Oreochromis niloticus: one gene and its partners. The protein of the gene in region 3 interacts with the protein of the main gene of each other region in a pairwise test. Links are inferred from orthologs where the notes say so. Each region holds a gene or a part of one and is shown on either strand. Other genes may lie near its edges.

Evidence for each region.
Region 1: the proteins of prkab2 (region 3) and banp interact in binary tests that used the Homo sapiens proteins (3 or more experiments, as listed by UniProt). The link is inferred for Oreochromis niloticus from reciprocal best matches to the Homo sapiens genes PRKAB2 and BANP.
Region 2: the proteins of prkab2 (region 3) and ubxn11 interact in binary tests that used the Homo sapiens proteins (3 or more experiments, as listed by UniProt). The link is inferred for Oreochromis niloticus from reciprocal best matches to the Homo sapiens genes PRKAB2 and UBXN11.
Region 4: the proteins of prkab2 (region 3) and pias2 interact in binary tests that used the Homo sapiens proteins (3 or more experiments, as listed by UniProt). The link is inferred for Oreochromis niloticus from reciprocal best matches to the Homo sapiens genes PRKAB2 and PIAS2.

What each region holds. Positions count from the first base shown.
Region 1 is NC_031972.2:56,893,382-56,900,521, reverse strand, and holds the start of banp (protein BANP), read right to left. Parts: upstream 3,021-7,140; 5' UTR 2,752-3,020; intron 1-2,751. UniProt on the Homo sapiens protein: Controls V(D)J recombination during T-cell development by repressing T-cell receptor (TCR) beta enhancer function. Binds to scaffold/matrix attachment region beta (S/MARbeta), an ATC-rich DNA sequence located upstream of the TCR beta enhancer.
Region 2 is NC_031976.2:7,542,473-7,550,175, forward strand, and holds the start of ubxn11 (UBX domain-containing protein 11), read right to left. Parts: upstream 3,017-7,703; 5' UTR 2,717-3,016; coding exon 2,646-2,716; intron 2,544-2,645; coding exon 2,503-2,543; intron 2,135-2,502; coding exon 2,039-2,134; intron 1,926-2,038; coding exon 1,825-1,925; intron 1,732-1,824; coding exon 1,680-1,731; intron 1,599-1,679; coding exon 1,519-1,598; intron 1,438-1,518; coding exon 1,371-1,437; intron 1,278-1,370; coding exon 1,060-1,277; intron 971-1,059; coding exon 893-970; intron 820-892; coding exon 696-819; intron 607-695; coding exon 503-606; intron 37-502; coding exon of another isoform or gene 1-36. Other genes in the region: fez2a (fasciculation and elongation protein zeta-2), read left to right, coding at 4,731-5,071, 6,373-6,481, 6,672-6,788, 6,951-7,083, 7,177-7,442, 7,608-7,688. UniProt on the Homo sapiens protein: May be involved in the reorganization of actin cytoskeleton mediated by RND1, RND2 and RND3. Promotes RHOA activation mediated by GNA12 and GNA13.
Region 3 is NC_031982.2:13,490,076-13,497,319, forward strand, and holds the start of prkab2 (5'-AMP-activated protein kinase subunit beta-2), read right to left. Parts: upstream 3,023-7,244; 5' UTR 2,904-3,022; exon of another isoform or gene 2,698-2,903; intron 1,427-2,697; 5' UTR 1,402-1,426; coding exon 1,243-1,401; intron 1,127-1,242; coding exon 969-1,126; intron 816-968; coding exon 722-815; intron 395-721; coding exon 280-394; intron 1-279. Other genes in the region: calcium-binding mitochondrial carrier protein SCaMC-1, read right to left, coding at 5,627-5,808, 6,996-7,146. UniProt on the Homo sapiens protein: Non-catalytic subunit of AMP-activated protein kinase (AMPK), an energy sensor protein kinase that plays a key role in regulating cellular energy metabolism.
Region 4 is NC_031977.2:829,215-836,595, reverse strand, and holds the start of pias2 (E3 SUMO-protein ligase PIAS2), read right to left. Parts: upstream 3,019-7,381; 5' UTR 2,736-3,018; intron 1-2,735. Other genes in the region: ube2l3b (ubiquitin-conjugating enzyme E2 L3b), read left to right, coding at 6,171-6,197. UniProt on the Homo sapiens protein: Functions as an E3-type small ubiquitin-like modifier (SUMO) ligase, stabilizing the interaction between UBE2I and the substrate, and as a SUMO-tethering factor.

The DNA of each region.
Region 1 (7,140 bases), on a different chromosome or scaffold from region 3:
TTCAGAAAAAGACATTTGTGACATTTATCTTTTACATGAAGTTTGAAGTTTTCATAACACCTACTATGTTTGTATCTGATGTTCTACAATTTATGCTCAAATGTTTGGCTGGGTACGTTTGGGTGTGTGCTGTTAAAATTATTATAATGTTATTAAAGTATTGACCTTAGCAGTATTTGTGTTGTGTGCGCCCCAAAGTTTATTTTTGTTATGTAATCTCAAACGTCCTCTTCCATCAAGTGTATCTTTATATAATAACTATACTGCTATGATAACCACTCTGTTATTAATAGGACAACTTTAAAAGTTCTCTCCTCCAGTACAAACATTTGAAATGTTTAGTTAAGTTTGATCTTTTCTTGTCCTCACACAGCAACTCCATATCCTTAAACCAAGTACAACTCTGGACTGAATAACAAAAGATAGATCTCTACTTAAATGCCTGTGTCCTGAGTAACACTGCAAAGTGGCAGTGACTACAACAGAATATTAGCAACACATTAAAACAATAGAATAGAACTGAATTCAACTTTATTGTCATTGCACATGTCACAAGTACAAGGCAACAAAATGCAGTTTGCATCCATCCAGAACGTGCTTTAGCAGAAAACAGAAAAGCAGTACTGTTGATCATTTTAATAATAAAGTTGTGGAAATGTGGAGATTATCATTGTTGTTTCAAGACAAACTGCCATGTTTTCTATACCCTGTACAAAATCCCTTGTTTAGATGAGTTAGTGAAACAAATTAATCAGCCCTTCTGTGATACAACATACACCCTCTTTATTGGACAAGAGTGAAACCATTGATAACCTTACATCTGTCCATTACCAGTCATTTAATTTTGTACAAACCCACTCTTCCTAGTTTGTGTCTTTTTCTGTCTGACCAGATGCATCTTTCTGCATCATCTTTTCGACTTATCACCTTATAGTTATCAGGAAATGAGAAATCATATCCTTCCTTCTTACTAAAACTGATTCTTAAGTACGATTTCACTAACTCAGAGGGTATAGCAACTGTGGCGGTTTGTTTTGAAGCAACAACTGTAATCGCCACATTTAAAAAAAAAAAAAATTCCTTACAATAGTATTTTGACTTTAATCTCAAAGCAATTGAGAATATATTTTTTCTTAATGTGGTCCTAATACTTATACATACTCCAAGTTAGGATTACACTTTTAATAAGCTACCTTTACACAACAAATAATTGACAAAGTAACTGCCACAAAACTGTCAAATTCAGTCACCCAATAAAGATCTAACACTTGCACACTCCAAACTAATTTACTTTTTCAAGTTGCAGTAGAGTATTTGCAACCTTTGATCCCTGTATCAGTCCACTTGAATACATGAACTAAGTTGTCCTGTTTTGAGCCTGTATGTATAGCCAAATATTGAAAAAAATTCTGTATTATTCACCAGATTTTAGCTGCTGCTTTTCATTTGTTGCATTGCTTTATTTGCCTAAGTTCAGTTTCCCTACTCTTTGTGTCAAAACTGCACAATTGCTTTAGTGATTTGTCCACATTTTGGAAAGAAAATGTTGCAGCAGTAATACAAATGCTAACACCAACACATTTTTAGCGCACTTGTGGAACTTTTTAAAAAAAAATCTATTACTCCAAAAATGCACAGCACCTCAATTAAAATGTGTGAGAGAAGGACCCATCCATTGCAAATACAAGGCTTATATCCTCATAACAGCCACGAATAAACTAACAATCATGTTGTGTGTATGAGAAATTATATCCAGAGTCATAATCTTGCAGCTTTGTCTTCCTGATTCATTTCCTCGTTTTCCAAACATGGCAAAAAAGCATAGATGCATGAGGAAAAATTACAATAATAATCAAAGTACGACATTTTATGTGGGCTCGGCTCTACGTAGCTTACAAAAGCATCGATGGCAGCTTAAGAGTAATAGTTTGTGACATTACTTTAAATAAAAAAACGAATAATAAATGTGTGCTTTGTCCTTAAACTTACACAAAGGAAACTTTGTTACTGGAGACACATACCATTTATATAAGGGGGTTTATCTGAATGGTATGCCCAACATAAAATGAGCGATAATCAGTTTTAGAGTAGCCCAACTAAATTAAGCCCTATGTAAAACGGTCTGAAATTGCAAAAGCTCCTGGCGCTTTTTTTTAAGCGCAACCGTTACCTGTGATAGTGGCTAGCTATAAGGAAACACAGCTGTTTCAGACCATTTTCTTTAGACTTTAGCTGCTTAGCCTAGATTACTACAGTTTGCTACAAATATAAAGAAAAAGCACGGAGCTGGTAAACGTCTACTAGCCCAACTAACGAGCTTTAGATTGGTTAGTTAACTGGGCGGGGGTCTGACGATGCTAAATACAGGCGAATAAACGGAGGAAAACAAACTTGGAGCATCAATTTGTTATGCATTTATGTAATGCGACTAGACATGCGGTGCAAAACTACTGTACTACGGATATTTAATTTATTTTTCACTAGTTAATTAGCGTCACCAAAATCATAACTAGCAGCTAATGTTAGCTGCCGCTACAAAATCGGATTTGAAAGCTTGCATGCTAACTTAAAGGAGACGCTATTTAAGCTAGCGTGGTAGTTAGCATGCTAGTTGGGCATGTAGGCCTTTGAAGCGTAATGCAAGATTCGTTTAATGCTGAAGCAACCGTTAAATTAATTGTGATTTTGATGCAGCTTCTCTTCTCATTCTCGCACACAACACATGTACCGTGTAAGATTGGGTTATATTACCGTGTGAATGGTGAATTCTCGTGTTGTTTGTAGAGTTTCCGATAATGGCGTCGTTCCTCGCGAGAGATGAGACCTTGCCTTCGTGTGCTTCACACACGGAGGTTTCCTCAACGCTCATTCAAGGGAGCTCAGTCTGCAGGAGACCGCTCGTCACCGCTGCAGACGCCAGTCACAGACTGCACGACTGCTTCTTTTCAAGCTGTTTTATCTAAATCTGAAAAAAGCCGACATCCATTAAATTGTACAGTTTATTCGACATCATCATAATACCGCATGATAATAACTGCGCCAAAGCACAGTATCTTAATAAAGCCTCTGTGGCAAGCAGCGAGATTGCATAAACGGATAACATGTTTGTTTAACCCTGTATTTTTTAACCGTCCAGTAAACGTTTCTTACATTCATTGTAATCCAACTCCTCAGGGTTGTTTGTTATCTTGATTTAATCCAAGCCTTTGTTTGCATCCGTAGATACCTTAGAGTATATATTACTGTATTTTAGTATTTTTGTTTCCCAGTGATTGGAGCAAATGGGTTTATTTTCCTCTACATTATTTACCCTCTTATGTAGATGATTTGGCACAAGATATTAAGCAGCCCACTAACTATTGTTCACAATGTAAATGACTCTGATGTTTATTTCTGAGACAGATAATTAGCAAAATGATAATATACAACAACCAAAAAGGAAATTCAACTGAAACATTACAAAATCCAAGGTCAGCTGAAGCGCAAGTGTATTTTTATCAAGCGTTTTACATGTACTTGTTTGGTCTTCAGTGAACATATAGAGGAGTTTATTATAATCAAATAAACACGTTAACAATAGAGGAAGATTAATACATGCAAAATGTTGCAGGATAAGGAAGAATAACTTAATATATTACAAATAATATATTTTATTTTATGTATTAATATCATAGAATATGCCAATATCTAGTATAGAGCATATTGCTTTGCATTAAAATGTAACTCTCTCAAGGAATGAAAACAACAGCTGTGGTGAAGAGGTGATGAGTGCTACAAGTAAAAGCAGCAAATGACCAGCAGGTGGAGCCACTGGCAGGCTCAGTCCATCTTTCAGCTAGGCAGGGATTTGACACACTGTTTTTAGGCATCTTTGTGTTCCACTGGGTAATAAAAGAATAAGAAAATGCAGCAGATAGTATGTTATTACACTCACTAAATTAAGTGTCTATTAACTCTCCACAAGTGGTTGCACTGTTCATTATTAAGAGCTGTATAGGTAGAGCTAGATAGCATTATTTAAAAGGACTCAGGTTCAGTTCGTAGTACTAATTGTAATGCAGAAGGGCTGTGCCTGACTGGAATTCATGTCGGCCTAAAATATATTAAAAATAACATATTCTTATATGCACACCAGTGTGCTACCATGGGAGAATTTCCTGCCATACATCTCCTCTGATATGTCTAAAAAAGACTTTCCTCATTCAACCTGGTAAGTTTAGATTCATATGCCTAGGAAGAGGTGTCAGTTTCCAGTAGTCACGATGAAAAATATTAGATCTTTCATACTGCTGTGTAAGGTTAACCTACTGTCACTCGTCTAATCAGAACTTGGAGTGCAAAAAGCAGAGAGGATATTTTGGTAGCGTATGGGGATGTTTGAGTTGCTTTCTGGTGTTTTCTGTTGAAAACAGTATGCACTATACATGGTTTACTCATTTCCCTTCCTTTTTCTTATTTTATTGTTAAATGTCTACTGTTTGTTTTTTTGGTTTATTTCAGAGTTATTTTATGAATATAATCCCTTGTTTTATTCATTGTTTGGGCCTCCTTGATTTTCCTCTTCATGTCCTAGTCCATTTAGAGCAGGGGTGGGCAATTCCAGGCCCCGAGGGCCGGTGTCCCTGCAGGTTTTAGATCTCACCTTGGGTCAACACACCTGAATCACATGATTAGTTCGTTACCAGGCCTCTGGAGAAGATAATTTAGCCATTTAAATCAGCTGTGTTGGTTCAAGGACAAATGTAAAACCTGCAGGGACACCGGCCCTCGGTGCCCACCCCTGATTTAGAGAATGACAACATTTCAGAGGGTCAGAAAGAGAACAGGAAACAGATTTACTGTATGAGCAAGTACTTCTTTGTGTTGCTGTTGTCTCCAGTGATTACTATTATGAGTGTTGCTGCCAGAATGTTCATTGTTTAGCCTTCATTGACTGCTGCTTTTGACATGGTTAACCACAACATTCTTCTATCAAGATTGGAACATGTTGTTGGTCTCAAAGGTACGGTTTTAACTTGGTTTAAATCCTACCTCTCAGAGAGGTCGTTCTCTGTTGCTATGGGGCAACACTCCTTGGCTTCTGCCCCTATTTATTGTGGTGTGCCTCAAGGGTCCGTGCTCGGTCCTGCTCTTTTCTCTTTGTACATGTTGCCGTTGGGATTAATCTTTAGAAAATACAACATCTCCTTTCACTGTTATGCTGATGATATCCAGATTTATTCACCTTTGAAATCCGATGTGTCTGCTTCTTTGCAACCTCTATTCAACTGTTTGCATGAAGTTAAAATTTGGTTATCACATAATTTTCTTACATTGAATGAGAATAAGACCGAAATCATAGTCTTTGGTAGTCACACTCCGCTAGACCAGTTAGCTGATGCCCTAGGCCCTCTCGCTAGCCATCTCTCGCTCACCGTAAGAAACCTTGGAGTGTTCCTGGATGGCTCTTTTAAACTTGAGAAACAGGTCTCCACTGTGGTAAAAAACAGCTTTTGCCAGTTGCGTCAGATATCTAAAGCAAAGCCCTTCCTTCCTTTAAAGGACCTTGAAAAGCTTATCTACGCATTTATCACATCCAGATTGGACTACTGTAACTCCCTCTACTCGGGCCTCCAACACTCTTCTCTTTACCGGCTTCAGTTAATTCAAAATGCAGCTGCGCGTCTTTTAACAGGTACGAGAATCTATGAACGCATAACTCCAATTTTAGCCAAATTACATTGGCTCCCTGTTAAATATCGCATAGATTTTAAAATTCTTTTGTTTACTTTTAAAATTCGGAATAATTTAGCGCCCAGCTATCTTTCTGATCTACTCCACTTATACAATCCCAACAGAGCACTTAGATCGTCCAATCACAGGTTCCTAGCACAACCTAGGTCTCGAATGAAGTCGAGAGGTGACCGGGCCTTTGCAACTGTGCCACCTAGACTGTGGGATAACCTCCCTGTTCATATTCGTACTGCCGAGTCTATCCAGTCTTTTAAATCACGTCTTAAAACTTATCTTTTTACTTTGGCTTTTGATTCTAACTAGTTGGCTGTTCTACCTTGTTGTGTTGTTACCTATTGTTTGTTGTCCTGTTTTATTGTTTGTTTTAATTGTCTCATGCTTTTACTGACTGTGAAGCACTATGGTCAACACTGTTGTTTTAATATGTGCTATATAAATAAATTTTGATTTGATTTGATTCATTAAATGTGGAGACACTCACCCATCTTTCTTAGAAAAGACAAGTGTCTTCCCAGCTGTGTCATTTTTTCCCTTTATTCTTTTTTGGCCTCTTGTTACTCTTGTTTTCAGAGTAATCCTTGGTGGAGATATCTGTTGGGTGTAGGCATTTCAGAGCCCCAGCTGTTGAGGTTTAACCTTTCAAAATACCTCTAATCCAGCAAGCTCTAGAACAGAGGTTCCCAAAGTGTGGGGCCCGCCCCCTAGGGGGGGCGCAGAGCCATTGCGGGGGGCGGTATGAAAAGAGAAAAAAAAAAAAAAAAGAGTCCTTGGACACTGTGGACAGGTTTTTGACGGGGCTCCGAACGCAAAGCAGGAGATGAAGCATCGCCAAATATGTTTCCAAACCAACTTCCTTCCAAGCCAAAGACTAGAAAATATGGTGAAGCATATCTTCCCTTTGGCTTCACAAGTGCCAAGGTAGGTCTCCCCTGCAAAATTAGTTTCCCTGTGTCGGGAGCACGAGCTGGGCTCTCCAAATCACGGACAAACAGTATCCCACATTCTTGATTTTTAGTTCACAAACACTTCTTGTAATAACTAACTACTCCTGACATTTTGGACATGTTAGCTCTTTATGCAGTAAAGTTACAGTGGGATACAAATAATATCAGGCTGATCCTGCCGTAATTTGTTCCCCCGGTTCAAATCACGGACAAACAATATCCCACAGCTGTTTTTGTTTTTGAACCCATTTTGCACAGAGAGGCATTTTTTGAAAAATTTATTGATAGCAATGTTGAATATTATTACACAGGAAAAAAAACAACTACACGTAAAATAATCACACCGTGAGCCTCGGCCTTTCTAAATGGAGGGACAGTAACTGCGTGTGTATGTAAGCGTGTAAAACCTGAAGATAGTCAGATTAACAGTAACAGTATTTTGTCTCTATCTGCCATTCTGCAA
Region 2 (7,703 bases), on a different chromosome or scaffold from region 3:
GGAGTTTTTCTTGGTCTGCAGCTTTGTAGTCCATTCCTGTGCAGGATGGTAATCTGGTGATTATCTTCTTTGAGACTATAATTCACGACTCGAGTAAGTCTAAACGGATTTCTTTTATCTTTGGTAGCATGCTTTCTCGGGTGACAGCTCAAACCCTTGAAGTTTTTATTGGAGTTTTTATTGGAAGCTAACTCTCAGTTTTAACTTCTTAGCTTCGAGCATTACAACGTTAAAGCACATCATTGCACAGCAGTAGTGCCTGCTATGGTTTTTCAGGGAACTAATAATACTAATCCTGGTAATCTGAAATAGTAATAATAATTGATGCTTTGTAAAGAAAAATACAATGTTTACAAATGTTATGTTAAAAATTCCTTGCTCTGTTTAAAAAAGCACTCAAGAAAATGTTGACAAAGCTTTTAAACTTCTTAGGGTGGCTGGTAATTTTGTCCTCATCTGTATATCTGTACAAACAGATCATTGCTGCTTCTCTATGACTCACCTGCAGCTTTGCCCTCAGCGAGTTCCTGATATCAATCACTCGGCCGGCCTTCACCACCAACTTCGGCAGCTTGTTCAGGAACTGATCCGTGGTCATCTTCTTGCCTTTGAATCAGAAGAAAACATGAGAATGACAGCAAAGTCTCTGAGGATCTGCACCGTGGCTTTGATCAGGGTGACGTTTGCAGACAGACCGGGTAAGTGAGAGCTCAGCGCGCTTGCTGATTCATCTTTGTCCCCACAAACAGGCTGTCCTTCACCAGGAAACGTTTCCCATGGGAGCCTAGAGTTGAATTCCTCGTAACGCCTGTCATGAAGCTGCAAAGAGAATTTCTGTGAAGACACTCAATTGTTCCCAAAAACAAAATAAGAAGAAGAAACTGAGACTCACCTCAAAAGGTACACCATCTGGAAATCTTTCTTGAAGCTCAGATGGAAAATAGCCATCCATTAGATCTTGCATGCACTGCTGCAGGGACCAAGAGTTGATGACTTTTAACCAAGGAAAGATTCCAGTTTAATATAGACTTTGATTTTCCTATTTTCAGTGTAGCTAACCTGGGTGCTGTGCTCCTGATATGAGCGGAAAGGACCATCAAACATTACAATGCCATTCCTGTAGAGCCTCAGTGGAATGGGATCCTTTTTAGCCAGCTGTGCTCCTGTCGCTGTCATTTGCACAAAAGACTCTCCTTCCCCTGCGAGGACGTTCAGTTCTCTGATCCTCTGCAGCACGAGATCAAAGTTTATGTGGAAGCCTCTGCTACCAGAAGTCTCTGAAGAAGAGAACAAAACAAAACAAAAACAGCACAGCTTTAAGATACAAAAGACACGAAGGGATTGCAGGTCTGCGGGACTGGTGGATCTACCTCGCTCTGCAGGATCACCAGTGTCTGTATCTCCCACCCAGATCAAACCATAATCGTTCAGAAAGTCCTGCAACAACGACAGCAGCTCAGTGAAACCTCCACACTGATAGAATCACAGTCTCATACTTTATGGACACACCTTACTCACCTCCATCTCATGCACTTGATTTTGCAGTTGTTGGCACCGGCTTTCGAGATCATCTCTGCTCCTCGGGTCATGCATGCTTCCTAAATCCACACAATCATGAAATCGCTTTGATCGACCAAACATAAATCGAACTCAAGTCTGTGCCTGCTGTAGATAATTACCTGACTTCTCCTGAGCCCTCAGCTTCTCCTCTAAATCTGAAATCTGTTTATCCTTGGGAGGAATGACGAAACCATAAAGTGAGGTTTAAACATGTTTAAAGATGGCTGGCAGTTTTGGTATTCGTTGAAGTGGTTGCATGCTCACTTTGCGCTCTATCTCCTTTGCCTGGCTCCTCACTGTTTTCTCCAGGAGGGTCACTCGCTGCACCATGGCAGACATGAGGTCAAAGTTGGTCGGAGGACACCCTGAAAACCAGCAGTTAAGTATTAGAAAAATAAAACGTATAATCATTTTGTATGTGATAAATAAAAAAAGATATATTCGACACTGGAATGGGAAGCATTGTGTTAATGCCTACCTTTCTTTAATGGAGCTCCCGTATTTGAGGTGGAGGCTTCGTTGGGTGGAGTGTGAGAGTAATCAGAAGACTCATCGGCCAATTCAGCCTCAAATTCTAAAAACAAAAACTATCATGGTTATAAAAGTTGTTTTGTTATTTTTTCAACTGAAAAAGTTACCTGAGAAACTTGTGATCAGTTTCTCCAATAAGATACAATTATTATTATTTGGAACTCGTCAAATGTGAGGATGTGCTGCATTTTGCTCATCACAGTTTAAGTTATTTATGTTGTGGACACATGAATACTGTTAGATCTCCACACACTTTTAATCACGGTGTGACTAAAGTGTAGACTTTCAGCTTTAATTTAAGGGGTTTAAAAGAAAAGTAGTTCTAGTTCTAGCTGGGATGTATTTATTTATTCTGTATTTGTACTTTACTGAATTTGCAGTGCTGCTGGTGGTCTGTGAGTGCATCGTTACCTTTCAGCAGATTCCTCCTTAAAGGAACTTTTGATTTGCTCCTGCAGGTCGAAGAAAATTAAGTGTGGCGACATGATTGATACGTTTATTTTTCACAATAAAACTACAGTCCAGTTTCTACCTGTGTGGAGTTAATCACCTACCCTTGCTCTTTGTGAGCGCCCTGCAGAGGAGTGCGTTTGGTTTTCTTTAGCATCGACAAAGGAGAGCTCATTTTAAATCCAAAGCCTGAATATCCCACACTTATTTCTTCTTTGGACTTCTTTCTGTTCAGAGAATGAACTATAACAGAGGTTCAGAGGGATTTCCGGTGTTTTCTCAGTTTGTGTGGAGTCCGTTTCCAGTAGCAACAATGTAACGTACTAAGTGAAATCTGCAGAAGTGTCTGTTTCACCCAGAGGAGGTCGCTCTTTCTGTCCTTACTTTAAAATTCTACTACCTCTGTTTCATAAGAAAAAAATTATAAAATGTAGACGTTTACATTATAAACGTTCTAAAAATGAAATACAAATAAAGAAATGATCATTTCATTTCCAAACTAAGTGATTAGTTTTTTGGGGGGGGGTTTTATGTGAGAAGTCATAAATATTTAATGTTTTATTCATCATTATAAGATGCATTATGAAATGTAAGCACTGGTGATGTCATGTTGGGAAACTAATGAGACAGAAAAACAAAACAAAAAAGCCTTTTTTTTTTTCATTTAAGATAAACGAACATTGATGAGTGGTGTTTCCTAACTTTGCCTTTACTGTTTAGATGCCGTTAACCATGGATACGCAGAAATTATGACGGCATCAACTAATCTTTGCCATAACTACCTGGTGGGCAGATTGATCAAAATATCGATACCAAAGCTTGTATTGGTATCAGATCGACACTAGCGCATTAGATTGATACTTTTTTGCCCTATCCTCTAAGTTCAGTATGGAGCCCACTCAATTTTGGGGTGGAGGGAAAAGAAAAAATAAAAACACTTTTTCTGTTGACTGCCACATTTATTTTATTTATAACCTATAGTACAGAAGTTGGTCCAAAGCCCTTTAGAGACAGGCACATTTACATCACAGATCTCCAAAATAAAAGGTTTTGTTGTGCAAACAAATTACTGTGGAAAATAATTAGTGGTTTAGTGATCATCTGTGCCTTTAATGCACATTATTAGTCATATTTAAAGCACATATTCAACTGGATACACAATAAAATAGTACCTTCATAAGCAATCTAATTACTTGTATAACCTAAGAATAATTCAGTGTCTAAGAATAATTCAGAATTAATAACCACAGTTTTCAGGTTAATACACCAGTTTACACTTTAATTATGAAACCTGAGACAAAGGCTTAATCATGTTGACCAGAATCCTCCGAAGTAAGTTTGTTTCAGTATTGTTTACACCATTGTTTCAGTCTCTTAACCACATAAATGCTGTCCATGGTATATTAAGCAATTAAAAACGTCACACTGGCGCTCCATACATCTGGATTAAATAGAAACTCGTAATAGAGTTTCTTTTATATGACAGTTTTTTAATTCATAGTCCTTCTGTTATTGTGTTATTGTGCAGAATCTAACAGGATATCAACTGTATAATACCCAACTTACTTTTCGTTAAACGAAAAATGTAAGGAGTAGAACATTTTTAAAAATGTAATAAAAGTAAAAGGTAGTCAGAAAAAATTACTCTAGCAAAGTACAGACACCTGAAAATTGTACTTAAGTACAGTTACAAGGTATTTATACTTCATTAGCTAACGTTTTTGGTGCTATTCAGAGTAAATACACATAATCTTCACACTTTACGTAACAACAACGACCCTGAACAGTTTGCACTTATGTGTGTTTTGAATCTTCAATACTGAACTGTGTCACGAAATTACCTCTTCATCTTCTTTTTGAAGACAGTCTCATTTTTCAGGGGAGCTTGAATACGCACACACACACACACACACCACCACCACCACCTCAAAAAGGGTATAAACTCGCCATTGTATAGGGTCAGTAGTGATAAATGATCATGATGCGTTTTTATTGCTTTTAACAATCACGTTGTTGTTCAGACCCCACGTCACCGTGACCTGTTTATATTCCGCGTCTCGCCGCTAGTCGGCCCGGCGCAGGCTCGCTGTGGGCAGTGAGCGGGCAGACAGGGAGGATGCGGAGGCCTGCCAGTCCCACAACAACAACACATCTATCATCCACCCGGGGCGACTAGGCCGGTCCGGGCTATGGCTGCACCTATAGCACATTTCGACGACGACTGGCCGAACCTGGGTGATCCGAGCATAGTGTCAGAGGAAGGGCTGCTGCCGCAGAAAGGCCGTGTCACCGCCGCCGCCGTGAGCGAAGCGGCGCCCCAGTCGCTCCTGTTTGGCGGTGATGATGATGATGATGTTCTGCACGACAGCAGCTTCTCCCCTAGAGAGAACGCGGGGTTCCGGTCTATGGAGGATCTGGTGAACGATTTCGATGAGAAGTTAACCACGTGCTTCCAAAATTTTGACGCCAAGACGGAGAGCATCGCTCCCGTGGCCGTGATCGCCGAGGACACGCTGCTGGAGAAAGACGAGTGAGTCCACGGCCTGTCTACGGCAGGCTGCGTGTTTCCCATCCAGTGCGCATGTGGAGGCTCCAATACAGTTTAAAAAACACGGAAAGACATGTTGGGAACATTTAAAATAGGAAGTAATGGCATCGTCATATCATCTGTTGTCAAGATAAACGGAGTAATCTTTAATTCAGATTAATCTTATGTGCCCTATATTAAAGATCGATATTGGCCTATACTCAGTTTTATTTTTAACTCATTTCTAAAATCAACATTTTTGTGATATTTTTAACATTGCAGCTTTTTGCAAGAGATATATTTGTTTCAAAATAACTGCTATATTATATTTAAAGTTGGTTAAAGTAATTTATCAGGTATGCATTAATAATAATAATTTCATATTAGGGTAGGCTGCTGGTTATTTAAAAAGTCACCTTGGGCATTTTCCTTTTTACCACACTTAGGAGTTGGGGATTGTTTTAAACCCCCCAGTGTTCATTCCAAAAACATTTACAGCCAGTTTCCCAACCTATTCATAAACTGAAAGGGGAAAAAAAAAATCAACGTTTTCAGTTTCACACTAGACTTAATCCATGTCTGGGAAACTGAGCCTTAAAGTGTTAAACTGAAAAGAAATGGGAGGTCAGGGGGTGGAAAAATCCTCAATAAATCCTAAATAGGAAACATGAAACTCTACTTAAGTGCTCCATCAGGAGGCATGATGCTGCAGCTCTGGGTGTAAGTGGCACTTTTTAAACGTCATCATCTGTGGTATTTTCAACCTGATAAGCTGTGTAGGGGATTATACTTTTAACCTTGGCATCAGACCTGCTTAATCTGATTGTTATGTTTTTAGATGCGGCATTAAAAAAGTATTTCTGTGGTGCCTGCAGTCAGTACCAACGTCCTTGCTGCTAACATAGGTTTGTTTTTAGTAAAAAAAAAAATATCGCTAAAGGGGAATTCCAGGAATGCTGTGATTATCTCAAGTGCTGCAAACAGGAGAACTGTTGCTATTGTTGGTAATGATTAAAAATGAGAAAATAATCTTTAAAAATGCAAAGAAAAGATGAAGCAGATCCTAATATGTACCTCAGGAAGATGTAGTTTTATTCTCAAATTATAATTACCCTCATTCTTTTTGCAGTTCATATGTTTATTTTGATTGATTTCAACCTTGACATACTTAGTTTGTAACACAGATCCTAAGATGTTTACAGTCATCAGATCCAGGCTTAGACCCCATTGGCAACATGTTCAGGCAGCTGCAAATGAAATCCGCAGAGTATGTGGTTTGTAATGAAAGTCTCGTGTCCCCTCAGAATCTGGAACACTTTGACGGCTAACTACGGACATGTGATGCCCGTGGACTGGAAACGTTCTCGAACGCACGCCCTCCACGTTCCCGCAATCAACCTGGAGGAGAAACCCGTGAGTGATTCCACCTCTTCTGGCCCATCCCATCCTATCTCTGTCTCATTTTTCCCTTCATCACACCACCCGGCTCCCCTCCCTCCAATGCCAAATCCCTCCTCCGGTCATCTCGCAAATCTCAAATATTCATTGTGCCAGGGTTTAGTGCTTTGATTAAATTCCCTCCTCCTGCTCCGTTCCTGGTTAGAGAAAGGCAGATGTTGTGTTGGAGCTGTCAGACGATGAGGAGCTCAGGGATCAGCTAGACATGCACTCCATCATTGTCTCCTGCATCGCAGAGGAGCCCCTTTTCACAGCAGAGCAGGTACGTTACACACCCTGTCAGAATCCAGCATAGTTCACCCCAGAAGCAGCCACACTGGGTCAAGCCTGTATAGGCAGAGCTTAACATGGCTGAAATCTTTTCCACAGATGTTTAATAACTCGTGCTCGATGGGTTATTTTAAGAGCTGGCTCTTTTATGCAGGTTATCGAGGAGATAGAGGAAATGATGCAGGACTCTCCTGACATGGAGGCAGAACATAATCCATCACAGTCGGACCTGTCAATGCTCTCTGTGGACGTCCAGCAGCCCAACAGCTGCTCTGACTACGAGGAGAGTGAGTGTCTGCTGATCAGAACAGTGTGTTATGATGGGTTATTTTGTTGCATTTTATGTAAGTAATTTAAGGGAATATGCTTTGGTGGTCCAGGGATGGAGGCCCTGAGCATTGCAGAGCTGAATGAGTGTCTGGAGGAGACTGAAATGAAGATCAGGAGGTTTTCAGAGGAGCTGGTTCAGCAGCTGGCTCTTAGGGATGAGCTGGACTTTGAGAAAGAGGTGAAGAACAGTTTCATCTCAGCCCTCATCGACGTGCAGAACCGGCAGAAGGAGTACCGCGAGGCGCTCAAGAAGAAGAAGAAGCTTAAAGGTGGAGCTGGGAAATCGCAAGGTCTTCCAGAGAAAACACTTGGATCGGTGAGTACTTTAACTTTACAGCCAGGTTTTAAGGACTTATCACCAGTCCCGAGGTGTTGGTAGAGTGAAAGAGTGGTCTTTCTTTTCTAGTGTCTGCTGTATTTACTGTATTTCTGCTCTCTCTGGTAATCTTTTTTTCCTTTGCTTTTCTTCCTTCCTTGTCAGCGCTTCAGCATGGAGGGGATCTCCTCTGTTATCCAAAACAGTTTCCGTCAAACTTTTGGGAGCAGGTGCAGTGAGAGACAGGTTACTGTGCTTTTC
Region 3 (7,244 bases):
ATGACATTTCACATACATACTTTACTCTATGCAGCTACTGACCAATTAACCACTAACAACAACAACAATAAAAAAGCTGTATTCTTTATTGTTGTATGTATTTCGGCGTTTATTATTCAACTCCTTTCCTGGGAGCTGTATTAAGACATAAATTGCTGGGACTGTTAGTGCAAGGTCAGGAAAGGCATGCTGCAATATGACAAGGCACTTTCCAGTTACTATTTACACAAGGTGATTACCTTTAGTTGACTAAATAACTCAATAACAGAGCAGGCTGACCTGACGTGTCGGAGCACTCCAAAGAGTCGACCTGAAGGGCGTCAAACACCTCAAAGTCAGACTTTTTCACATGGATCAAGTTGTTGATAGTTCCCATCTGGCTGGTTACCACCGGCTGCCAAAAAGGAGAGAGAAATCATCACAGAGGAAATGAGGAAGCATGTGTAAAATTAGCAGTTTCCTGCACATCTTTCCCTAAGGCTAAAGAGCTATTTAGCGGCTTTCACCAAATAGAAGGGCTTTTCAAAGCTTTACAGTCCCTCTGAGGTTTCACTGTCCACATTTTGTGAGGATAACACAATATAAGATTGATGAAATTTAAATCCTAAATTTCCACAAAGGAATGTGTCCCTTCCTTTTTGTACTATCAGAGGTCTCTGCATCATCCCAAATGCAGTGTGCATTAATAAGTTAATGGGGGAAAAAAATGAAGCTACTGTACCTCTGATGGATCATGCACCCACTGTCCATCTACAAAAAACTTGTACTGGTGCTCTCCTTCGGGCAGGTCCAGAATTGCCACAAAATCATTATGGCTTAGGAGAGAGGAGGAGAATGTATTAGTGCGATATCAGAAACATTTATTTACAAACTCTCAAGCTACATAATGACCACAGCTTTACTGTGGTCATTATGTTCATTACTAGATAATGAACATGATAACGTACCGTTATCAACTTCCTGTTTACCTTTTATTTAGTGGTATCTTTGTGTTCCAGTTATTAAAAGAACCAGCTATGTAGACCTCCTTCCCACCTCCGGCCCAGCGGATCACAGTGGGGCGAGCCTGAGGACCAGTTTTAACCAGATCATCCAAATCTGGGGTGAATTCTTTCTCTCCTGATGCCTGAAAGTAGTAAACATATGAATCTCAAATATAAGCTGTTTTGACCAAATAATGCTTTCAAATCTGAGGACGACAAATTTGTTTCTATATTATAATCTGTATTTATCTATGCGTACCTTCGATTCAGGTCCATGTGTGTTGAAGGTGTTGGGGTCATCTGTGCTGTCCACCATCTTGCTGCTGGGTTCTTGGTCTTTGGAACCGCTGCCGCTGTCTGTGCGATGGGCCTTGGCGCCATGTCGATCTCCGGCCACTCTGTCACTTGTGTTGCCCATGGTGCTTCACTTTTTTGCAGTGCCACTGGAAATAAAGGACAATCCATTATGTGTTTAAGCATAAAGCAAGATCTTTCAGAAGCAAGAAAAAGACTTGAAGAGACAAACAGACTGTAGGCATCAGATCAGCACTAGACATCTTAATAGTTCGTGGTAATCTCCTGTTTTTTCCCCATTATAAATTTTATACATCTGATAAGGATGAAAGTTTGTTTATGAAGCACGAAGACCCCCCCAGGTTTTCTGGTTCTTCATTTTTAGCTGTTCAACAAACAGCTAAAAAGTGACGGTACTTTCTCTTTTTAAAATTTGACTAAAAATGTAACTAAAACCTTTTAATCTATCATTTTACAGCTTAGTATTGTTATTTTTTAAGTTCATTTTTAATTTTATTCCATGTTAAACATTTTACTGATGGTCAGTATTTCTTTTTTATATTTGTTATGAGCTTTTTTGTGTTATTACAATCAGTCAGTAGAAAAATATATATATATTTTTTTAATCCAGTTTTTAATGTCTTAGAAACTTTTCATTTTATATATATATGTATATATATATATGGAAAAAAGGCTGAATATATATATATATATATATATATATATATATATATATATATATCTATATCTATATACATATATATACATACTATACACACACACACACACACATATGTATATATGTATCTATATCTATCTATCTATCTATATATAAAATTTAAGAGATCTGCATCAATACAAACCTCTAGATGCTACTGACAACACATTAAAAACAGGATATGACAATGAAGATGTCTTGAATACACACCATAGTCGAACTCCATTTATCCAACAAGACAATACATCACAGAAAGAAGCTGAGGCTGACCACAAGCTCTTGTGATATATGTTTAAATACAAACTGAACCTGTTATATGAAACTATTTGTTTAGCATGACAAACACCATCGTAACACGATGAGCAGCAGCCTGACTCAGGCAAAAAAGCTAAACGCCTTTCCAGTAGGGCTAACTGGCTTACCGGTCGGTAGACGGATAAAGCCAGACAGGTGAAACAGGGACTGCCTTCTGGCCGTGTGTCTGGACTTGAATCAAAAACCGCTTAACGTAAATACAATCATGCTTTCAGACATAACGTAGTAAGAAAGTCTCCGTTAGTTAACGCCCACTAGCTAAGCTAGCGCCAAATCAACAAGTTTTAACTACAGACCTTAAAATAACATACACACATACATAGATACACAATTTTGCCATTAGTAATTAATCATGAGTACTCGTACAGCTTGCTGACTGAAACCTACCGTAGTTTCCCCACCAGCTGTTCAGCTGTGTCCACCTCAGGTCACTTCGCAGGAGAATATTTTTAGCCGCTGTTGGGAGTTAAAGTTAGCTAACTGCTAGCTGTCACTGTCTACAAACAAACGACCAAGCTGTTTGCTCTGTTTACCTGCGCCGCAACAAACACTAGTTTTTCACCATTAGGTTTTGACAGACAGGAAAAACTCACCGACACCCTCCACCTATCTGCACACTGACTTCAGTTTGTGTTTTAGCAGAGGGCGGGCCCACCTCTCCACAACAACTGCAGAGAGCTCAGTGCTGCCCCGACTACGGAAACCGGTTAAGACAAAAACTGTTCAAATAAGCGAAAAAAAAAGGCTGAAGGTCGCGGTCACCAGCAAGGAAACATCTGTCACAAAAACAGCCTGGCCACAAAATAAAGAAGGTTAAGAGACACCCGCAAGGAACTAAAGTAAAATAAATAGTATTTTACGACTGACTGCATAGTTAAATAAACATAGTAAGTAATAAGCATGTAATGTGATCCCAGTGAATATACAGCATTGTGCAAATCATCTCTCACCTATTTATATTTCCCTTCCAAGGAGCCAGACTTTATAGTAATTTTTTACAGTGTTCTTCAGCAGCAGTTCCCCAGGTTTTCTGAAGATGTTTCAGTTTAATTTTTTTTGACATGCTTTTTCACTTATTTTCAGTCCAATCTTTTCAAAGGAATGTTTTTTTTTAAATTGTTTTATTATTATTATTACTTTTATTATTATTTATGATGCCTACTATCAAACGTTTAATAATAAATGTGGTTTGTATAGTATGTCTATACCCCCTGAGGACCCAGCTTCCAAAAATCCTGGGGTATTAACATATCCCCAAGTTGTTTACTTGGGGATATGTTGATGGTCAGAGCTGTTTTGTTGGCATTAGGGAAGCCTGCTCACTAGGTTTTAATGTTGTGGCTAATCACTGTATATACAGGTGTTGTCAAAAATGTCACAAATGAGAGATTTTTTTTCTCCAGCAGGCATTTAACTTGTCCATGTGGGCAGTTTCATTTGAGCTTGAAAATATGGATTATGGAGCAGGGGCTTCTCTCAGTCCTTGGTGATGTAAACTCACTTCAATGTGGACATGACTGTGTTCCAGGAGTTTAAGTTCGTGGCAGGATTGAGCCTTGGTGGTTCCTGAACATCCTAACCATTTTCCTCTCATCTGACAGTGACAATTTGGGTCTTCTTCTAAACTTTGGCAAATGGATGACACATCCAAACAACTTGTACAAGGAACCAGATATCTGGACCTGCAATTGTTTAGAAATCTGCAGCTGTTTAGACGTGGTTCCAAGAGACCTTTCCAACTTGTGTAAATCTACAATTCTCCTTCTAAGCTCTTTCCTGAGTTCTTTAAACGTTCCCGTTGTTCAGAGTATTGATCAGAGTATTGATCAATCCAGTGAGTGTTGAAAAACAAATCCTTTTTACCAGTTGTAGTTAATCATGATCACTAACAAGAACTTAACAGGTTTTGACCATGCCAAGTTCAACGTCATTGTAGAACCTTCAGCATCACTTATTAAAGATTTAAGTGAGTACATGTACATCTTCAGGCTTGTATGCATATTTTTAAAGCTGTGTGGATTAGCAAGAATCCAAAATTCAACTGTAAACATGTTTTCCCTTCCCTCCTAATTTTGGAGGATTTAATTTGTTATAGAAAAAAATGCACACAGAAATTTCAATCAAAAATACAAAGCTGATGCAAAAATGTTTTCAGTTTTTGTATTTCCGTTTCATCTCCTTCTTCATAGATGCTAACCGGATGGAAGTTCAATATCCTTACTGACACCAACACAAAGTTTAAGTTCTGTGTGGAAACAAATCCACAGGTTTTGTCTTTATTGACCACTTGGCAAAGATTTCAACACATCAGACCGATTTTCCAACCAGTGATCCTTACATTACTGAGGAGGCAATATCAGCATTCAAGCCTCCCTGGAAGGACCAAGTTTCACCAGCTAATAAATCAAGACTAGTTTCAAGCTCAGAAAATGCCACATAAACTAAACACAGAAGATTGTTATCATGCATGCTACATCTAAACTCCATCCACTTGGCTGTGTGAAAGAGAATGAAACAAATGAATGAATGTTAACTGTAGCAGGAATGTGTTGTGCGTATGTACTAGGTTGAAATGAGGATTGAAACATGACAAACACATGCTTCTTGCAAGTATTTTTCATCGTTGAATCCCATAAATAAGCATAACTGGAAACATATATACAGTAATATGTATAGTTATAAAACACATCTTCTGATGTTATCATCAGATTTACACCCAGATAAGGCACATTTCAATCGTTATCAAACAGAGAGATCAGTGGTTTTCACATTGCACAAGATGTGTGTCTTCATTCACACACTGTTCCAGTGTTAACAAGTATTCGTTTGTCCAAGCCAGCTATTTTTAGTGGACAGCTGCTGATTGGAGAATGGTTTGTTTGGAACCGCTGTCACTTAGGGCAGGTGTTTACAAAATCATGTATACAGTGCATAGACATGTGAAAAGTTCAGCTGACATAGCGTCATCTTTCAAACAAAGGAAACGCACAACGCTATGTCACGTATTTGTTTCATCACAGTTTAAAGGAATATCCGTGGCATAAATGAAACGAGCCATTACACTTAACACGTTTTAGTGTTTTTCCAGAACTGTCTTTTTGTGTGTAAATAACGCAAGTAAATGCAGGAAGAATGGTATGTTTTACAGTAAGAAAAAAAAATTTGACCATGCATACCACAAATTATTAATTAACTACTGGCAGACGGCTCTTAAAACATGCACTGTATGGTTGATCGCCATCTGTCTTTTTGGAGTTATTTCAGGCATTTTCAAGTCTGACATATAAAGTAAACTTTTTCTTTTTTTTTTGCAGTATCATTTGGAGATCCCTAAGCCACTCTTCATATACTCATAAACGACGTAGCTAATGCTGACTGCAGGAATGACTTTCATGAAGTTCGGCAGGATGCCCCGGTAGAGTCCAAAAACACCATCTTTGGCTACAATCTTCTTCATCAGAGAACTCATAGAAGGCTGGTTTGATGGTTCCAGAGATGCTGTAAAGAAATATAAGCTATGTTAGAGAACCAATTAAAAAGCAAAAAATAAACTCACTGGCCACTTTGTTAGGTACATCTGCTCAACTGACTTAATGCAAATATGTAATCAGCCAGTCACATAACAGCAACTCAACGTATTTAGACGTGTAGTCATGGTCAGTTCAAACTGAGAATCGTTTAAGTGACTTTGATCGTGGATGGTTGTTTTTGTCAGACAGGCTGGTCTGAGCATTTCAGAAACTATTGATCTGCTGGAATTTTCCCACACAGTCATCTCTAGGGTTAGAATAGATTTTCAGAGAATAGTCTGAAAAAGCGAAAACATCCAGTGAGTGCCAGTTCTCTTGGTGAAAATGCCTTGTTGATGTTAGATAACATGTAAGCATGGATCCATCCTGTCTTGTATCAAACAGTTCAGGCTGCTGGTAGTGTAATGGTAGAAGAGATACTTTTTTTTAGCACACGTGGGGTCCTTTAGTACCAATTGAGCATTGTTTAGGCACAAAAGCCTACCTTAGTATTGTTGCTAATCATGTCCATCCCTTTATGACCATAGTGTACCATCTTCTGATGGTTAATTCCAACAGGATAAAACCCCATTATCACAAAACTCAGACCATCTCAAACTGAGATTTTGAACATGACAATGAGTTCACTGTTCCTCAAATGGCCTCCACAATCACCAGATCTCAATCTAAGTGGAGAGTCACATCGTGGATGCCAGTATGAACCAAGGATTGTCTCTGAGGAATTTTTCCAGCACCTTGCTGAATCTATGCCAAGAAGAATCCAACCTGATAATAGCAATATGTAACTAATAAAGTGGCCAATGAATGTAGTGGTCCATAACAGCCAACATTTTTGTCTATTAGTCTCTTTACTCATATAACACTGATTTGTCAGTTTGTGAGACCATGACCCTGTCTAAATGTTACATTCAAAAAACAACTTTCATCTCAAAGTGAACAACGTTAAAGAGGAATGCCCTTTTTCAGATGGAGCCCCTTGACATTACGTGGGCTGTAACACAAGTATATATTTACAGAAAACATGGATCACATTTACAGAACCTTTACACCATCACATGCATCCCGCCCACCTTGAAAAATATTATGCTATTATTATGTAACGAAGGGGCTACCTAGTTATGTCATTACTGTTTTCAAATATCAGGCTGTGTTTACCTTGTGCTTGCATCCGAGTGCGCACAAGTGCGAGTGGATAGCTTGCCAGCTGGCCACAGGTACTAGAGATGGTCCCACAGCCCAGCAACACCAGCACTCCAGGGTTGGCTGAGTCAGTGGCGTAATGTGCCAACCAAGTGTTCTTTAGAGTCTGGAGAGTTATGACAAGAGAAGGGAAAATTGAGGTAATGTGCAAAATCAGCATAACACAAAAATTTCTCTCATTTAATTTAATGTAACTCTGCACGA
Region 4 (7,381 bases), on a different chromosome or scaffold from region 3:
TGCCACGATCCCACAGCAGAGGGACGGGAGCTGATCAGGATATAACAAATCTCATATATACTACTCATAACATTACTTTCATGTTACTCTGTAAAATGATCTGAACACTGTCTCATAATCACAGTTTAACAATATAAGCTGAGGCTACAGCCCCACACACCAACACAGGTCCTATCCTGATGAGGACACACGTGATCTTTCTCTGAGTGTTTATGTATGAGCACAAGTCAAAGAGGAAACCAGCACAAAGACACTTCAAAGTGATTCTACTGCAGAAACATGATCAGGTAGAAACCTGCAGCCTGACTGCTCATCAGTTGTTTGCAAAGAGCTGAAGTTGTGTTAACAGTGTGATTCTGTCCTGGAGCAGTCTCCACTTTATGCTCTCATCCTTTTGTGCAACAAAAATAAAAGTCATGTCCGCGCTGCAGACTGTGCTGCTGTGTTCCTCCTCCAACACACAAACTGAAATCAGCTGATCGTAGCGAGGGTGCAAGAACTGATAACTGGGATCTATAGGCAGACAGACTAACGATTCCAAGGAATCCTCGTTTCCCATCCCTAGAGGCAGGTGACATCCACACAGTAATTGTCTTTTTTCTGTTTGTTAAACATGCTGATCATCCTTCATCTAGTCTCCCGTTTAAAACACATTCTTACAAAATCTACTGGAATCCATCAGTGTCTCCCCTCAAATCTATGGTATCAACTTTAAAACATCCTACATCACCTCGTCCTCAAGTTATCACATTCCCAAGAGTCCCAGATAACGTACTCTGACCTTTAGGTCGAGGTCACCGAGGTCGGAACTCATTACAAGATGTTGAGTAGATACACTTATGGTACAAAATGAAAATGCTACGTCGCTTCATTCTGTAGGTCTTCCATTCACACACTTTGGTGTCCCGCCCACCCGATGGGATGACAACAATACCCTACCAGCCTTTTTTTTTCTTTTAAAGTAAGGTCACGTGATATTTTGTGTGGCAACACTAACTCCATCGATACAGACAGGCCACAGGTCAATAGGATGCTGAATTCACTCCCTGCTCTCACACATGATCTCCAGACCTGCATCCACCTCTTCCCTCTGAGCCCCCCCCCCCCCCCCCAAACACACAAACTCTGACCCACCACCATCACCCTTTCATTGACTGCCCCACTCCCACTGCACACGAACTTGCCCACAATCACTATGATTGTGTGGGACACCGCTGTTTAAATAATTGTGTAGTATTGTATTGTGTTGTACATAAGATTTTTTATTTTATTTTATTTTGTTTTTATTTCCTTTTCTATCTTTGTATGTTTAGTGTACACTGGGGGCCATGGGAGCACTGCAATTCCAAATTCCTGTGTACAACTGTACATATGATCTTTGACAATAAAGCTGACTTTGACTACTAAATGAGCGGGCCCATCTCACCTGAGGCAACCTTTGTGGACACACCTGCTTAGACTGACTGTGTCACTCAAACAGGTTGTTAAAGGTTAAAGGTCTAATTTATAAATGCAGGCAGATTTCCAAAGAATGAGTCTTTATCAACAAGGACAACTCAAAGGGATTCGACTGAGCAGGCTGCCAGCTGCTCTGGTTATAAGAAGGCTTCACAGCAGTAATAAGCAGTAATATCTTCATATGAATTTGTCTCTACGTGACAACAACATGTTATAGTGATTTATCACAGCTGCTGTATCATCAGGAATAATTTCAAACTTGACCTCATATAGTCACAGACTAACTCTGATGGCAACATTTATGACAGATACAGTGTTGGTGTGTTTGACAAAACTCAAACTATCTGACTGAATTAAACGGATTTGATGAAGTTTAACTTTGAGGATTTAATTTGCAAGATGACAAATGTCAAAGTTTATTATTACAATGTGGATTTGTTATATGTTTGAACTGAAAACTAGAGCGAAACAAAAGTACTTCAATCGTGTATTTCATTGTGTTTTTAATGAATCCATTTGAACTTTTAAAAACCAGACACGTTTAAATGTTTGTCGCTCTGAATGAAAGTCACAGACGGAGAAAACAAACACAACTGATTCTACAACACAACATACACACATGATACACAACAACACAGCACGGCCAAGTGTCCATCTTAGTTTTTCCTTTGTCCTTTATCTGATCTGGGATCTTGTTTCAGTGTCACGTCCACGGTGAGTGAACCCACGACAGTGTGATGATCACATACAGACGCGGTGGCTGAGCGCTGGGTCAGGAATATTTAACACGACATGAAAACAGAGTTTCTGTAATCTCGTTACTAATAAAATAAAAAAACGGATGTTTTAACATGTTTGTATACATCGTGTTTAACTCACAGCCTCGCGATAACTTTTGGCTAATCGGGTGCATGTAGTTTTTTCGATTAGCAGTTTGGTTTAAGTTTCCCACAGAAACTATTTATTATGTTTATTACACCATACCTCACACTCATGATGTCTGCCACATACAACACGTACGTGCATTAAGACCGTGTGCGGACTTTAGAGGCATTCAGTTATAATAACAGCTGTTTGTTGGGAGCTAGCAGTGACTGGCTAGCCTGTGTTAGCATCAGGGCTACATAGTGAAACGTCCACGATCCCCGTGACTACGCTCATCCCTGCCTGTGGGCGCCCACCTCGCCCATCGCTCACCCAAACACACATCAGCTGTTTTCTTCGTTACAAGCTTCAACGTCAACACGAGTGACAGGTTGTGTTTTGTTTTCGCCTACCCGAAACACCACAGTCCTCGCCATCTTGTTGTTCCGGTCAGTGTGATCACTTCCAGGTGAAGCTACAGTGCGGTTCACTTTACAGCAGCTACAAGGAAACTCACAGTGAAGCCGTGTCACGACAACCACGCGAGTCTGAAAACTGCTGTTGTTTAACATGTGTTAGGAAATGGTCCCACAGCACGTGTCAAATCCTCGCTAATTTATATAGATTAAGAGAGTGAGACAGAGCTCTTTAAGGCCACCGAAGCAGGATGTACCACAGAGCTCATATGGGTCCCACTGTGGGCCCCTGGGACAGACTGGGTACAGCCTGCCGTGGGTACAGCCTGTGTGGGTACTGCTGCCGTGTCAAATGTGGCGCATTGCTATGGAGCTAAATTGGGATCCAAAGCTTTATTCATCTGGAAAAGTGATTTCCATCTGTTTTTGATATTTAAAAAGTAAAACAAAAAACAAACAAACAGATGAATTATTTTGAATAAATTATCTGTTTTCGTGCGAATCTGTTTTGTGTTGTTGTTTTTTTACAACTTTAATTTTTCTTCTTTTTTTTTATCAGTTTCGGATCTTTAGGCCGTGATTTTGTGTTGTGGGCGTGTTTCAAGGGCGGGGCGTAGAGTGACAGCTGGAGCAGCATTGGATGGTAGGCTGGAGGACGACTTTAGAAATCAAGAAATCAAGTGAAGGCAGAAGCAAGGATGCAATGGTAGTCTAAGGAGCTTGGAAAGAAAAGCGTCTGGACTTCTTTAAGTTGCTTGAAGACGTTTCACCTCTCACCCGAGAAGCTTCTTCAGTTCTAAGGGTCAATGGCCGAGAGTCCCAGATTTAAACCCAGTGGGAGTTTCCCCCCAAAGAGGGACAAAGGACCCCCCTGATGATCCTCTAATCACCTGAGCCAAGGTGTGAAGAAGCTGAGAGGTGAAACGTCTTCAAGCAACTCAAAGAAGTCCAGACGCTTTTCTTTCCAAGCTCCTTAGACTACGATGACCTGGATGACTGAGAACCTTCACAGACAGATGCAATGGTAGGAAATGAAGATGCTGCACAGATTTCAGGGCAGAGCTGAGACAGGCTCCGAGTGGCAGCAAACATGACTGGGACAGTACAGCTATAGGCTGAAGGAACCTGTCATGAAGGTGATGGGTGTATCCTCCAGAGGAAAGAGGCAGAGACTTGGTGGAGGGATGAGGAAGTGCAGAAAATATTAAAAGGAAGAGATTACCAAAGAGATTGGCAAATAAAAGTGGGACAGGAGGTGCAAAAAACAGTCAGGAGTACTGGGAAACTAGGCGAACAGGAAAGACAGGCAAAGGAAAAGCCTTATAGTGAGCTGTATGTGAAGAAGGAGGGAAAGAACAGTGCCGAGTGGCTACACGCTGACAGATGGAGCTGAAAAGGATTTGCAGCAGCTGGAGATAATTAGGGACAGGAATGGAGATGTGCTAACAGGTGATGGGAGTGTGCAGAAAATGAGAGATCGAGGAGCACAGATGGAGGACAGTGAGTGAGTCAGGAAGTGACTTAGGAAGGAGGAGGGAAGGGCAGCTATGAAGAGGATGAGGAGTGGAAAGGCAGCTGGTCCAGGTGACACACCTGTGGAGGTATGGAGATGTCTGAGAGGGAGCAGTGGACTTCTCAACCTTACTGTTTAACATGCGGGGTCATGTCTACTTGTAAGAGGACTCTCCCACAGTCATAATGTCAGACATACTGAATATGCTTACACGTTTCATGTTTGCAAACCTCATTGGGTACACATGACAATGTTACTTTTAAAAGCCATGTATGACCTAATGTAGTGTTAGGAATGATTCAGAGTGAAGACTCGTTAGTTACCAAACCAAAGCTCGGTCGTGTTCACCAGAACTCTCCACAGTAGGCTTACAGCAGAGCAGTAAGAAGAGAATCACAGCATCATTTCAATCTGTTGACCAAATAACGAAGAAATCCTTGATGATTTTCCTCCTAACGTGCACATTTGCAGACCTTCTTCTTCCTGCCGTCCTCAGTCCTGTGTTGATGCAAGTGTCCAGGTATTTCTGACTGTTCCAGGTTTCATGTCTGTAGTTTTAGGGAAAGAAAGGAGTTTCTTTTTTGGTTAATGTTTTGTTATCGGCCATAATGAATGACATACATTTGTCAAAATCTAGTTTTGCGTCTGGTCGTCTGTGTTTGGGTCACCATTGTCACTCCACACGCTGTGGCACTGCAGACGATCAACATAATCTATAATACTTTCTATAAGAGCAGGTTTGTGGTCCACACACACTGATCAGTTCTATAAAATCATCATCAGTGAAACAGAAGCTTCCCTGGTGTGTATTATTTTTCACTACGTGTCAGATCTTGCCCTGTTTTTCGCTCTGTCTCTTTCTCACCCTCTCTGTCCTGCTCTCTCAGTGCTGTCACAGCAAAGTGTAACAGTGAAACAGAATTTACAACCACATAAACAGCATAAATCCATCTATATCCATTTACAGGCATATTGACAGACTCAATGCCACCAGGATCCAGAGCTGTGATCTGATTAGAAAACTTTAACAAACTCAGATAATAAAGTACATCAGCTGCTCAGCTGGTAACTAGCAAAATGCCATCAGACTAAAGTTAATTAATAATTTCTAATAACACAGTCTACATATGTTTATAAATAAGGCGCGACGATGCAGTCTGAATATTCAAACTGAAGGTGGACTACTGCTTTTCAATTTTCAGGTACAAGGATGACCTGCAGAGCTACATCATCCTGTACTGAGAGAGACGATGGTCATTCTACAGCAGGGTGGTGCAGCACATCCATGTGTGCAGTGGGAGTGACAGAGGGCTCAGAGTGGGGGGCCAAATCAGAAACGTGCTCTGAGCTCCTACTTGTTTGCAGTGCTGATGGACAGATTCACAGATGTTCATATGGAGCAGGTGGAGGCACGCTTTAGAATGAAAGTGCAGGGAGGACATGAATTTACACATGATATTAAAGTAGAAACATGAACTCAAATAAAACTTTATTGTTGAAAGTATTACGCAAGCACATGGAAAACCTTTTTGCTCTCTGCCATCCACATGACTGTTGAATGAGCCATTTACAACAGACTGACAGCAGAGCTGAGGGTTAAACAAGCAGACTCATACAGGTGTAACTCATGGTGCGTTTTCAGGTGTCCACATGCGAACACCTGCATTAATAATAAAAAATAAAACTCGTGTGAAGCGGACACAGCTGAGTTCAGGTCTCCTCCTGCGGCTCCGGCTCACAGCCCAACATGTTTGTAACGTATATAATTACAGATATTCCGCATTTAAACACATCGCTTCCTGTCGTGGACACGTCGGGATGTTCACAAACAGGCGGATGTCCAACCTGATCAGCCTCAGCGCAGGAACAGACCCATATTCCCAGCGCAGTGAATTCTGGGAACACACAGTAGTTTCAAGATGGCGGCGAGCAGGAGGCTGGCCAAGGTAAATCTGTCGTTGCCGTTCTTTTTGATCGTTTCTAATGTTTAAGGACGTATTGACGGTTAGTGCACGCGTCCGTCCTTTGGCTCGTGTTCACGTTACAGAGTATATTTGCACTAAGTGACCGTCAGTGTCCAGCTGTAGCTGTAGGCTCAACAGAAACAAGAGGTCAGCATTGACCACCTAGCCGACCAAATATTAACGTTAGGCAACTAAGCAGTCGCAAATCAGGCCGGAGGATCTACAGGGATCCTGCCCGGGGCTGCCAAAAACCTCATTCAAGTCTCTTATCTACAGTTTGAACGTCGGAAACACTTGAGTTGTGTGACAGAGGGAGTCAATCCGGCAGTGGGCAGCCCAAGATCGTGTCAATTTCCACGGCATAAGACGTTTGCTAATCAGCTAAGTTGCTATCCCCAGATCTCAGCTAGCTACACTTCAACTTAATCAGACTTTGAAGTTCGCCATTAGGAAGTGGGTGTGGGTGAACTACAGCGCAGCGTTACACTTCCAGTAATGCGGCCTGAAGGCGACACACACTAAATGCTACTTTCGTTTTGTGTAGTGGTCGTAGCATATTGCGTAAGGTCCGCGTTAACCTACGTTTGTTTCCGTGATTATCGTTTCTGCCTTTAAACGCACACTCCGCTGAATGACTGCTGTTACAGGAGGCTGTGTGTTGGAAGTTTTACCCGGAGTAACAAAGCTGGCCTCTGAGCTGTAACCGGCTCACTGATACGGGTGTAATGATTCAATGCGAACATGCAGATTAACAATAACAGGATTTCATTCATGAGAAACAAACGTCGGTGCTGTTGGACCATAAACAGGGCATACGCTGTTTATTAATCATAATCACGTTAGCCTAAAAACGTATTAGACTCATTTACACCGTCGAGCTGTGCAACAAAAAACTGTCACAGATGGAACCACGTCGGCGAGGCTGGCTCTAAGCGCCAGGTCAGAATGTGACACTCACTGGGTGGGTTTCAGCTAACAGCTAACATAATCTAATGTAAGTCAAACTAGTGACAGAACCAGTAACCTGATGGAAAACTAGCAGGTTCACTGTGGTACTGCTGGATGCAGGTTGTAGTTTAAAAACTTGAGGACATACTGCACACTTTCACTTTCACTGTTGGCCTGCTGCACTGAAATGAAAGAGAAACGCTCCTGTTAGCTGTAAG